3 linked regions of the Mus musculus genome follow. The protein of the gene in region 2 purifies or fractionates together with the protein of the main gene of each other region. This does not show direct contact. Links are inferred from orthologs where the notes say so. Each region holds a gene or a part of one and is shown on either strand. Other genes may lie near its edges. The genes, in order: Copb2, Esr2 and Ptcd3.

Evidence for each region.
Region 1: the proteins of Esr2 (region 2) and Copb2 purify together in Homo sapiens (affinity purification with mass spectrometry; 3 studies listed by BioGRID and IntAct, with this or other methods). This does not show direct contact. The link is inferred for Mus musculus from reciprocal best matches to the Homo sapiens genes ESR2 and COPB2.
Region 3: the proteins of Esr2 (region 2) and Ptcd3 purify together in Homo sapiens (affinity purification with mass spectrometry; 3 studies listed by BioGRID and IntAct, with this or other methods). This does not show direct contact. The link is inferred for Mus musculus from reciprocal best matches to the Homo sapiens genes ESR2 and PTCD3.

Annotation. Positions count from the first base shown.
Region 1 is NC_000075.6:98,580,715-98,584,367, reverse strand, and holds part of Copb2 (coatomer subunit beta'), read right to left. Parts: intron 3,234-3,653; coding exon 3,090-3,233; intron 2,097-3,089; coding exon 1,966-2,096; intron 1,679-1,965; coding exon 1,471-1,678; intron 1-1,470. UniProt on the Homo sapiens protein: The coatomer is a cytosolic protein complex that binds to dilysine motifs and reversibly associates with Golgi non-clathrin-coated vesicles, which further mediate biosynthetic protein transport from the ER, via the Golgi up to the trans Golgi network.
Region 2 is NC_000078.6:76,163,689-76,167,341, forward strand, and holds part of Esr2 (estrogen receptor beta), read right to left. Parts: coding exon 3,569-3,653; intron 1,934-3,568; coding exon 1,761-1,933; intron 1-1,760.
Region 3 is NC_000072.6:71,884,643-71,888,295, reverse strand, and holds part of Ptcd3 (pentatricopeptide repeat domain-containing protein 3, mitochondrial isoform 1 precursor), read left to right. Parts: intron 1-2,719; coding exon 2,720-2,798; intron 2,799-2,896; coding exon 2,897-2,987; intron 2,988-3,653. UniProt on the Homo sapiens protein: Mitochondrial RNA-binding protein that has a role in mitochondrial translation.

The sequences.
Region 1 (3,653 bases), on a different chromosome or scaffold from region 2:
TTCAGGCACTGAGGGGCTGTCATCAGTTAGGCTTTACTCTGGTCTTGGATTCAGCCTATCAATATCCCTCCCTTGTGCTCTATTAGGGCATAAAGCCATAGGACAGGCTTTTAAATCTACTACTGTAGTTACAAAGTTAACTTCTGTGAGAAAAAAACATTGATGGGCAAGTTTTCCAACTCTGGGAATGTGGCAGCCAGAGGGAAACTCTGGTGGCTTACTTCTCAGCACACTGAAGGAAAATGCTTAGTGTAGAGTGGTCAGGACAGAGAAGCCGGACAACATTCAGAGTTCATCTAACTATGTCGTCATGTTGCTGGAAATGTGCCATTCTGCTTCCCCCATCTACCCATGGTGCAATGTAAACACTGGTTCTAAATAAGTTACTGATTTTCTTCACTAGCACTGACAGCAGAAAACCCCAGAGTGAACAGCAGATATTTGGAACTGGTCAGGTAGGGGTAGAGCAGGACAGAGGAAGAGGGCGACATGTCCTTGCTTTTGCTGTATTTCCGATCTACACTAAGATGACACTAAAGGTAGTTTTTGTGTTTGGGGGGCATAAACTCCTAAGGATATACTACAAAAGGAGAGGAAATATGAATAAACAGATTTTAAAGAGAACTTTTGCTTTAAGATTTTTGTGTATGAATGTTTGCCATACATGTATATATGTGCCTGATGCCTACAGAAGCCAGAAGAGGAAACTGAATTCCCTTGGAACTGCAGTTTCAGGCAATTGTAAGCAGGTAAGTAGTTCATTGGAACCAAACTTAAGCCCTCTGTAAAAGTTGTACCCTTCCTGTGATGTCCACACACAAGACTCCCATTTTATAGGCTTCACTTCACATGAAATGCCTAAAGCTGAAAATGAAGAGTCAGTGCATTGCTACATCCTCAGGCATGAAAACAGAAAATACTTCTGGGAAATAGGAAGGGGTCAGGAAAGGACATCTGGTTTACATTGTAGAACCTACTTTATATGCTGTGAATATATAACTGGAGTTGGCACATTGGTAATAAGTTTTATTAAGGGAGCTTTACCACATGTTTAAGTTAAAACAAGATAATAATAGGAAAACTAAGTCCAGCTTAGGGTTTGTTTTTTTGTTTGTTTTTTGTTTTAGAGACACACTTTGTAGCCCTGGCTGGCCTGGAACTCTGGAACTACCTCTGACTCCCCAGTACTGGAATTAAAGGTGTGCTAGAAATAAAAATGCCAAGAACCTTAAAGGGGATGTAAGAAAAGTGATAAAATCAGCTCCAACACTGACAGAGGCACTGAGGTTCCTACGCCTAAAGAAGCAAGAGTTCAAGCCAGATGTGCTGTGTGTGTGCTGCCAACCTGATATGGTCAGTGGTAAGACATAAGAGATGACATTCTACAACCTGTATCAACATTCTGTCAAATGCTACTTTTAAAAAGAAAGAGAGGGGAGGGAAGGAAAGTAGGCAGGCAAAACTTCTCACCTGTTTTTCCAAAAAGTGTGCAACTCTGGTCCTCTGTTCTTTGGGGATGGTAGGGAGGACTTTATCCGCCATGCTAAAATCCCTCCGCATGACAGCAGTCTGGTATTCCAGGACTGAAACCAACAGGGAGTAGCTAACAATATTCAATTCCTTATCCCCCAGATAAAGTCTATTGTCTTTTGGAATATAGCCCAGAAGATACATTGTCCTGTAAGAGAAAGAGAAACCAACTCAGAAGCCCAAATCTACAGTTACACCACCACACAAACACACAAACACACACACACACACACACACACACACACACACACACACCCTTCTTGCTCAAATTCTTACACATTTAATGGATGTGATTTTGGTTACCATCAGAAAATCTACTAAAACTAATGGGGGGAAATTAACCCATCACTGTTACACAAGTCAGCATGACATTTGGTTCATAAAGCACTTTCAAATTTAGGCTGCTTTAGACAAAAGCAAAATGACACTCAGTACCTGTCCAGGTGGGCGATGGTGACTATCTCTCCTCCCACGTAATAGTTTAATCTGTTCACAGAACTTGTGTAAATGAAGCAGTCACCTACCCACAGCCCAGTTTTCACAATTTCCTGAATTTCACCAAGAACCTATAAAAAAGAAAACAGACTATTACAATCTTAGTCAACACCAGAAATCTGAACAAGCTAGATATGATGAGAGTGATAAGGAATGCAAAGTAAAATCCAATTTCAAGAACATTCTTCCTAAGAATTTTTGTCTTAAAAAAAAGTTTTCAATGAATATTTACAGTATGAAATCTCAGTGTTGAGTCATTAACATAAACATAACTAAAAAATATCAATCTAAACTGCAACACATGAAACTGGAATGTTAAGTATCTTCAAGTCCTTAAGGACATCTAAACAGTGGATGGTTTGATTTTCCCATTTCAGAGCTCATTTGAATCATTCTAGCTCAACAGTCTTAGAACCAAACACCTTCACATTTCCTTAGTGAAGATAGCAAAGCAAGCCTGCAGATTTTCTAAAAGTCAGGGCACATATTTATTTTAAACATACAGTGGTTGTTTGAATAGATATGGACCCCATAAACTCATGTGTTGGCCCATGGGGAGTGGCATTATTAGGTATGGCCTTGTTAGAGGAAGTGTGTCACTGGAGGTGGTGCTTTGAGGTAATATATATGTTAAAGCTCTGCCCAGTGTGAAACACAGTAGTGTCTCCTGGCTGCCTCTGGATCAAGATGTAGATCTCTTGGCTCCTCCAAGTCCAAGTACCATGTCTGCCTGTAGGATGCCATGCTTCCCATCATGATAATGGACTGAACCCCTGAAACTGTAAGCCAGCCCCAATAAATGTTCTTTATAAGAGTGCCCTTGGTCATGGTGTCTCTTCACAGCAATGAAACCCTAAGACACATACTTTCAAATTCTGTTTTTGCCAAAATTTTACATATTATCAGAACTTACAGTCACCCTACCCAAACATAATTTACACAGAACTATTAGAATCAATTTAGTCTGTTTAAAGAATATAAAATACTAAAAACAAAGCCTAGGCTGGACTCAGACCTCACCTCAAAGGCGTCTTCAATGCCCTAAGCTGGACTCAGACACTCACCTCAAAGGCGTCTTCAATGCCATCTTCAGTAACTCCCTCATGTGTTTCCTGTGCAGCCAAGACTTTTTCTGACAGATATTTAAGAATAAAAAATGACTCCTCGGTGGCGATACAGACCAGCTCTCCAGAGTCAGACCAGAAGATCTGCAACCCGACAGACAGACAGACAGACAGACAGATGACTGACCACCTTTCTGAGCAGCCACCTCAAAATGTATTCACTTTGTTCACTACAGGATCAGTCTTACAGCAAGGTAGTCATTGTGCACTTAGCATTGATGCACCATACTTCTATATGCACTTGGGAAGGTGGACAGCACAGCACTGTTGTGGAACACCAATGGGAAACAGGGTTCTATCATTCAGGTGAGGTGGGCTGCTCTCTGTTCTCTAAAACAGTGTTTCTTACTCCTTATTTCTTTTCTCCACACACATATGTGCACTTATACATAAAGAAAAAACAATAATACCACAAGGGAGCACCTTTGGTGGGCCATGGCCCCAGTCTCTCTAGACAGACTCAGGACCATAACAAGGTGAGATGCTTTCTAATGGCAACCAGCA
Region 2 (3,653 bases):
CTGGTCCAATAACAAACTCTGACTCTAAAAATAAGGTGAAGAGAAATTGAGAAAGATACCAAATGATGACCTCTAGCTTCCAAAGGGGCATGTACACACAGTCATACATGTATGCAAATACACACACTCACATGTGTACATGCACATAGGTTCACACACACATACAGAATATATCTCTACGCATCGTGTGAGCCCAATGCTTTTTACAAATTATCATTCAAGAAACTGGTTTTGTACCAGTAATGAACAAAATAGAATACACTGCATTGTCTTCCTGTGTCGCACAACCTAATACACAGTTCCACTAATACTCGTTGAAAGAATTTCAAAAGGAAACAGAATTAAAAGAATAAGCTTTTAAAAATAAGCCAAGCCCTAAGCTAGACCAGAAGTGGTAAGGAACCCCTGTCCTTGATCCCTTCTCTGTGCCCCACAGCCCAGGAGAGAAACTACAGGGTTTGGTCTGGTGGTGCCTCACTCTGTGGAGAGGTCAGCGAGTCTGGTCTTGATGGGAAACCTGGCACCACACAGCCCCACTGCACTAAGATGTAGGCAGTTGGCACCACACAGCCCCGCTGCACTAAGATGTAGGCAGCTGGCACCACACAGCCCCGCTGCACTAAGACGCAGGCAGCTGGCACCACACAGCCCCTCTGCACTAAGATGTAGGCAGCTGGCACCACACAGCCCCACTGCACTAAGACGCAGGCAGCTGGCACCACACAGCCCCACTGCACTAAGACGCAGGCAGCTGGCACCACACAGCCCCACTGCACTAAGACGCAGGCAGCTGGCACCACACAGCCCCACTGCACTAAGACGCAGGCAGCTGGCACCACACAGCCCCACTGCACTAAGACGCAGGCAGCTGGCACCACACAGCCCCACTGCACTAAGACACAGGCAGCTGGCACCACACAGCCCCACTGCACTAAGACACAGGCAGCTGGCACCACACAGCCCCACTGCACTAAGACGCAGGCAGCTGGCACCACACAGCCCCACTGCACTAAGACGCAGGCAGCTGGCACCACACAGCCCCACTGCACTAAGATGTAGGCAGCCTGCACCACACAGCCCCACTGCACTAAGACGCAGGCAGGCAGCTTTACCGACCAAGTTGGCAAGGAAAGTTGAAAACCATGAAAATGAAGAATGGTAAATGTCAGGAAGTACAGTGTGGCTTAGGGGCATAGCGCAGTTGGTAGAGAGCCTGCCTCACATGCAGGAAGCAGCCCTGGGTTCCATGTCCAGCGCCGAACAAACTGGGCTTAGTGGTGGATGCCTATGATCACTGTGGAGGTGGAGGATCCTATGTTCAGGATCTTTGATGACTAAATAATGGATTCAAGGTCAGCCTGGGTTACGTGGAACCTTGTCTCATAAACAAACCAACATTAAAGTTAAACGCCAGCCCACCGTCATGACATAAGCATACCCTATATTAAACCTAGGAAAAAATGAACAGATAGACATTCTTTGATGAGCACAGATTTTTTTTTCCTAGCACTATCTTTACAAGGTTGTAAACAGATATCTTTTCTGGCCCCTATAATCTTAGGGTTCTGGAGTAGAAACAAGCAATCCAGACATCCATACACCCCCACTCAACCCACTCCCAAACACACACTCATCTAAGCTGCTCACGTTCACAAAGTGTAAGCCAGCCCAAGGGTGACATTTATATCAGATCATCTCTGCAAAATTGCTTGCAAGCCAAAGTGTAAATACTAGAGGAATGATTTATCATAGTCTTGTACCTTGAATGCTTCTTTTAAAAAAGGCCTTACATCCTTCACAGGACCAGACACCGTAATGATACCCAGATGCATAATCACTGCAGACGGCGCAGAAGTGAGCATCCCTCTTGGCGCTTGGACTAGTAACAGGGCTGGCACAACCGCTCCCGCCAAGCTTCCTCTTCAGGGTCTCTCTGGGGGAGCAGAGAACACAGCCATTGTCAAAGGACACAACAAGAGAGGGGAAGGGCTTGGCAGAAAAAAAAAATAGCATGAACTTGGTCAAATTTAATCTCTTTGCCTTCCAGAGCTAGGGATAAATATGTTCCAGGAAACCTGATATCAGATCACAGGGAGCTCCATCGCAGTGGAGACTGACATTTAAGAGCCTACGTGGTGAGTCCAAGCCCTCAGAGGCTACGAAGAGGGCAGCTCAGGGCTGGGCTGGGATCCGTAGCTCTAAGAAGGAATTGTCCAGCAGAGGAGCAGCAGGGGCAGCTGCACACTCTGCCCATGGGCTGATTTGCCAGGACATGTTTCTTTTGGGGAGGGAGATAGTAGAGCTATTGCTAGTTCAGAAACGATAAAAACAAACTTCACCCTTTAAAGAGAGATATGTTAAAAGCACTTGTCTTCAGCCACAACCTACAGTTTTTATATTTGTTTCTTTAGCTTACCAATAAATAAAAATATTAAGGAGAAAAAATAAATTATTGTGTATTTTCTTAAAGGTTGTTTTGGTTTGGCTTGGTTTGGTTTGGTTTGGTTTGGTTTGGTTTGCCAGAGGTTCTGGGTTTGGGGGTACAGCAGGTTAGACCCAGAGCCTTGAGGATGTTAAACATGCCTCTAGTACTGAGATGGGCCCTCCAGCTCCTGTCTCCTCTAAGATTTATAACAATATTTGAAATATTGTTATAATAATAATAATATTATTATTGTAAATTATTTTTATATAAATATTGTTACAAATTTTTTTTTGTTTTGCCTTGTCTTTTGAAACAGGGTCTTTCTATGTAACCCTGGCTGTCCTGGAACTCACTATGTCGACTAGGCTAGACCTGGCTTGTGAGTGCTGGGATCAAAGGTATGCACCATCACACCCTACAAGTAATGCATTTAAGAGTCAGTGTGCCCTAACGTGGTTCTCTCTTCCAGCCCTCCGTTTCTTCCAGTCACGCATTCATATGTTCTCCTCTCTCTCAACAGCCATCGGTAGAGTCGAAAACCTTACAAATTAGACAGAAGCAATACATCACGTGGCCATGCATTCAGAGTTCAACTTGTGTTAACTTCAGATCTTTTCAACAGAATCCTACAGTTGGTGTCTCATTGCCCCTGACAAAGCACCACCTCAGCTCATCACTAAAGCCTGTGCCCGTTAGCTTTCCTGGCTTTGCATGGCTACTTCGTGGAAGTTGTAGTGTTACCATGGCTACGTTCATCCTGGAGACAATTTGTCATCAACAGTAAGTAACCTGTCATTTTACACTAAGACTCTAATCTGACTGTGAAAAGCAAACCAAACCAAACAAACCAAACAAAAGAAAACAAACCACTTAAAACCCAACACCTTCACCTAAACCAAACGGATACAAGTTTGATGTTTGCTGCATAAAGAGACGATTATTCATTATGGTGAACTCTCTCCATAGTGTCCATCCATAAGCGCAACATTTTAAGAACTAGAATGTCAGAGCAGGACAGAGCAACATGTCTCCAGTATCCTAAGAATGCAGGTGACAGAGTAAAGACCTTTTCTAACATGTCTTTCTTCATGCTAACCTGTAAAGAAAGGATCAAGCCACCACCCATGGTTTACAGGGCTTTACCTGTTTACAGGCAAGGTGTGTTCTAGTGATCTTGCTTCACACCAAGGACTCTTTTGAGGTTCTGCATAGAGAAGCGATGATTGGC
Region 3 (3,653 bases), on a different chromosome or scaffold from region 2:
TAAATGCTTGCTGGGATCCAAACCAAACTCTAGCCCTCATGATTTTGGACCAAGGATTCTTAACTCTTGAGCCATCTTTCTAACCCCCTCCTTTCAGTTTAATTGCTAGATTCAGCAGTGGGAGGATCTTAAAGACTGTATATCTTAGCTCTAGTTTTAGGTGATGGGCCCATTATTTGTACTTGTAATTGAACACTTGATAAAAGCAGTGGGGCTGAGGAAATGGCTCCAAGTGGGAGCATACATTTTTAGGTTTGGGTTCCCAGGCCCCACTGGTGGTATGTGTTCTGTAAACCCACGATGAAGCAGGAAGTAGATATAGGCAAATCTGTTGAAGACCAGCTCCAACAATGTTCAGCAATCCGAGGAGGGGGGTGTGGGGGCTGGTGATAATGTAAAGCATGCACATGCTCACACATTTAGTGGTTAAAGCAAGCTCCATCAACTTCACACATAAATATATACATGTACACACATACATGGTGGGTGAAGCAAGCTCCAACAACTTTATACATACATACATTGGGTAGATGGAGCAAGGCTTAATGGCGGATGACATGCAGAGGGACCTACAGTGGGCAAGTGAGCTTCCTAGAGATAGCCCACCATCTTACACAGCTGCAATGGCTGTACCTCAGCCTTCATCTACAGATTACTTCTTGCTGCTGCCATGCCTTCTCATGCTTGTCATTGCTATATTCCTCATACATCTAGCAAGGTGTGACTGCCTCTTGAGAGACAGCCCACTCTGTCAGGCAACTTTCCTGCAGATCAATATGAAAATGAAATTTCCAAAAATAATATTGTTTAAATGAACTAATAATTTTACAGACTTCCTGATTTGATTTAAATAGTCTTAGGAAGTTTAGGGTAATTGATAGAAAGTTTAAGGAGATGGATTAAGTTGTTTTGCCAGAAGGTGTAATAAAGTTAGAACTATGAGTGGAATGTGTGCCCTCCTTTGTAAAATACTGGGGGCTACATCTGTTAGAAAACAAATACAGTGAGTTTTCTTGCATTACAAACATATAATTGTACTTGGAAAAGAAAAATAGGCTTGGGACAAGGTCATTATCAAAGAAAACATTGTAGGTTGGGTCTGAGTTCTAGGATCTTGTGATCTAGGGATGTGGCCATAGGTTTCAGTGTGCACTATGAAAAAACAGGGTTATGGATAAAGAGTAAGTAATTCTGTTATGAATATAAGGATAAATAATGATGATTAGTTAGTTTATCTGAACAAAAGATAGGTTATCTCTCTTGCTAAGTATAAATTGTTATCAGCATAGGAAAGAACTTACTACAAACTGGATTGCTTAAATTTTAGTAACAAAAGAATTATTGCTTTGGGGTTTATGGTGAACTTGTGGAAAGAAAGAAAAATGGGGAATATTAGTTAAGTATGAATTTCAAAAGAATAATATATACTCCTATTGTAATTTCCTTTTGTGTAGTGATTTTAATTGTTTGTTTGTTTTTCAAGACAGGGTTTCTCTTGTGTAGCTCTGGCTGTCCTGGAACTCGCTCTGTAGACCAAGCTGGCTTGGAACCTGCCTCTGCCTCCCAAGTGCTGGGATAAAAGGCGTGCGCCACCACTGCCCGGCTTTAATTCTGTTTTGAGGAATGTTTTTGTGGTGATTGTTTTTTAGAGATAATGTTAACTTGTGACTCTGAGGTTTTTCCTTACAGAACTTTAGTCTTAGGTGGTATAAAAAGACTAAGAAAAAAAAAGTTATTGGAGTCAGCTCATTGGAGTTGTCTATCCAAATATGTATATGTGTGTGTGTATATGTGTACATTTATGAAGTTTGATCAAGCTTACTTGTTGAAGCTTACTCCAGCCACACATAGATATGTGTGTATACCTATGTATGTATGTATGTAAAGAGGTTGGCGCCTGACTCCATCTACCCAGTGTGTGAATGTGTATTAATATATGCGTGTAATATTTATGTATGTGTAAAGAAAGTTGCTGGCGCTTGTTTCGTCCAGCAGGTGTGTAAGCATGTGCTTGCCTTGCATTGTCGCCAACCCCCAGCCCCGCCTTGGACCTCTGAACACATTGTTGGAGGTGAACACAACAGTGGAGCTTCAGGTTCAGTGAGGTTTTGGAGAGGCAGTTGAAGACGACATCTGAAACACAACTCCCACTCCTACGAGCATCTATAGGCAGGCACACCTGTGTACATATACGCAGACAAATTGAAAAGTAGCAGTAATATTAAGACTAGACTCTTATATGTACATAGAGATTTTATTGTGTTACACTTCATGCCTTTATGTGTGAGGGTTGTTTTTGTGTGTCCAGGTCCTTGTTTCCCCACTGAGTACTTTGAATACAAATGTTATTTGAGGTGACTGAGAATAAGTAGTAAGCAGGGAGCCCAAAGTGTCCAGCTGAGGATCCAAGATCTCAGCTGGGAAATGTAGTAGTTACCACTCATTTGGTCAATCATTGACCGTTCTGACTTGAAATTACATATTTTTTTATTTTGTGTGCACATGTACAGCATTGGGGGTGGGGGGTGCCAAAGGACAACTTTGTGGAGTGAGTCCTCTCCTGCCTTTATTACAAGTACCTTTACCCATCTCACTGACCTAAAGTTGTAAACTTTAAAAATGTATGATTTAATACAGTAATAATTCTACTGGAATTTCACTAATCATATCTTATTGTTACACACAGACTTTAATCTAAACACACTTTTTCTCTCCACAGTTCGAAGTTTTTCAGTTTGATTTGTTCACTGGAACAAATTGATGTCACCTTGAAGTGGTATAAGGACCTAATACCTTCAGTAAGGGACTTCATACTCATCTTTGTCTTTGTAGATGAATTTGTGAGAATGCCTTTTCTGATGGATGTTATAAAATCATGTTTGTATTTCTCCACCAGGTGTTCCTTCCCCACTACCAAATATTCATAGGTCTTCTTCAAGCATTGGATGTGGCCAATAGACTAGAATTGGTTCCTCAGATTTGGAAAGGTTGGTGGCAGTTTTGTGCAGTGACTGATGATTAACATGTACATTTTAAGACTGAAAGCCTCCATTCTTTTTTTTTTAAAAGATTTATTTATTATTTATATGTAAGTACACTATAGCTGTCTTGAGGCACACCAGTAGAGGATGTCAGATGTCATTATAGATGGTTGTAAGCCACCATGTGGTTGCTGGGATTTCAACTCAGGACCTTCATAAAAACAGTCAGTGTTCTTAACCGCCGAGCCACCTCTCCAGCCTCCAAAAGCCTCCATTCTTAACAGAGGTTAACACTTTTGTTAAGGTCAAACTTGAAGGCCATTGCTCAAGTTATAGTGGTTAAGTTAAGTACAGGAAAATAAGATCTTTCTGATATCAGTGCCAGAGAAATTAGTACCAAAGTCCAGCTCTGTGTCTTACCCAAATCTCTTACACAGGCTGTGTTATACATTGACTACAAACATTTCTGATTGGCATTTGGCAACAGGTCTCACTGAATAGCTCTGATTATCCTGGTACTCATTTTGTAGACCAGCCTCAGCCTCCCAGAGTAGTGGAATTAAGGTTTTCTTTAATTCTAATAAATAATTCTAATTTTAATCCTACTGGAGGATAAAAGTCAGTAATGGATAAAAGCTCACCAGGTGTTTTGCATTTGGGATATCACTGTCC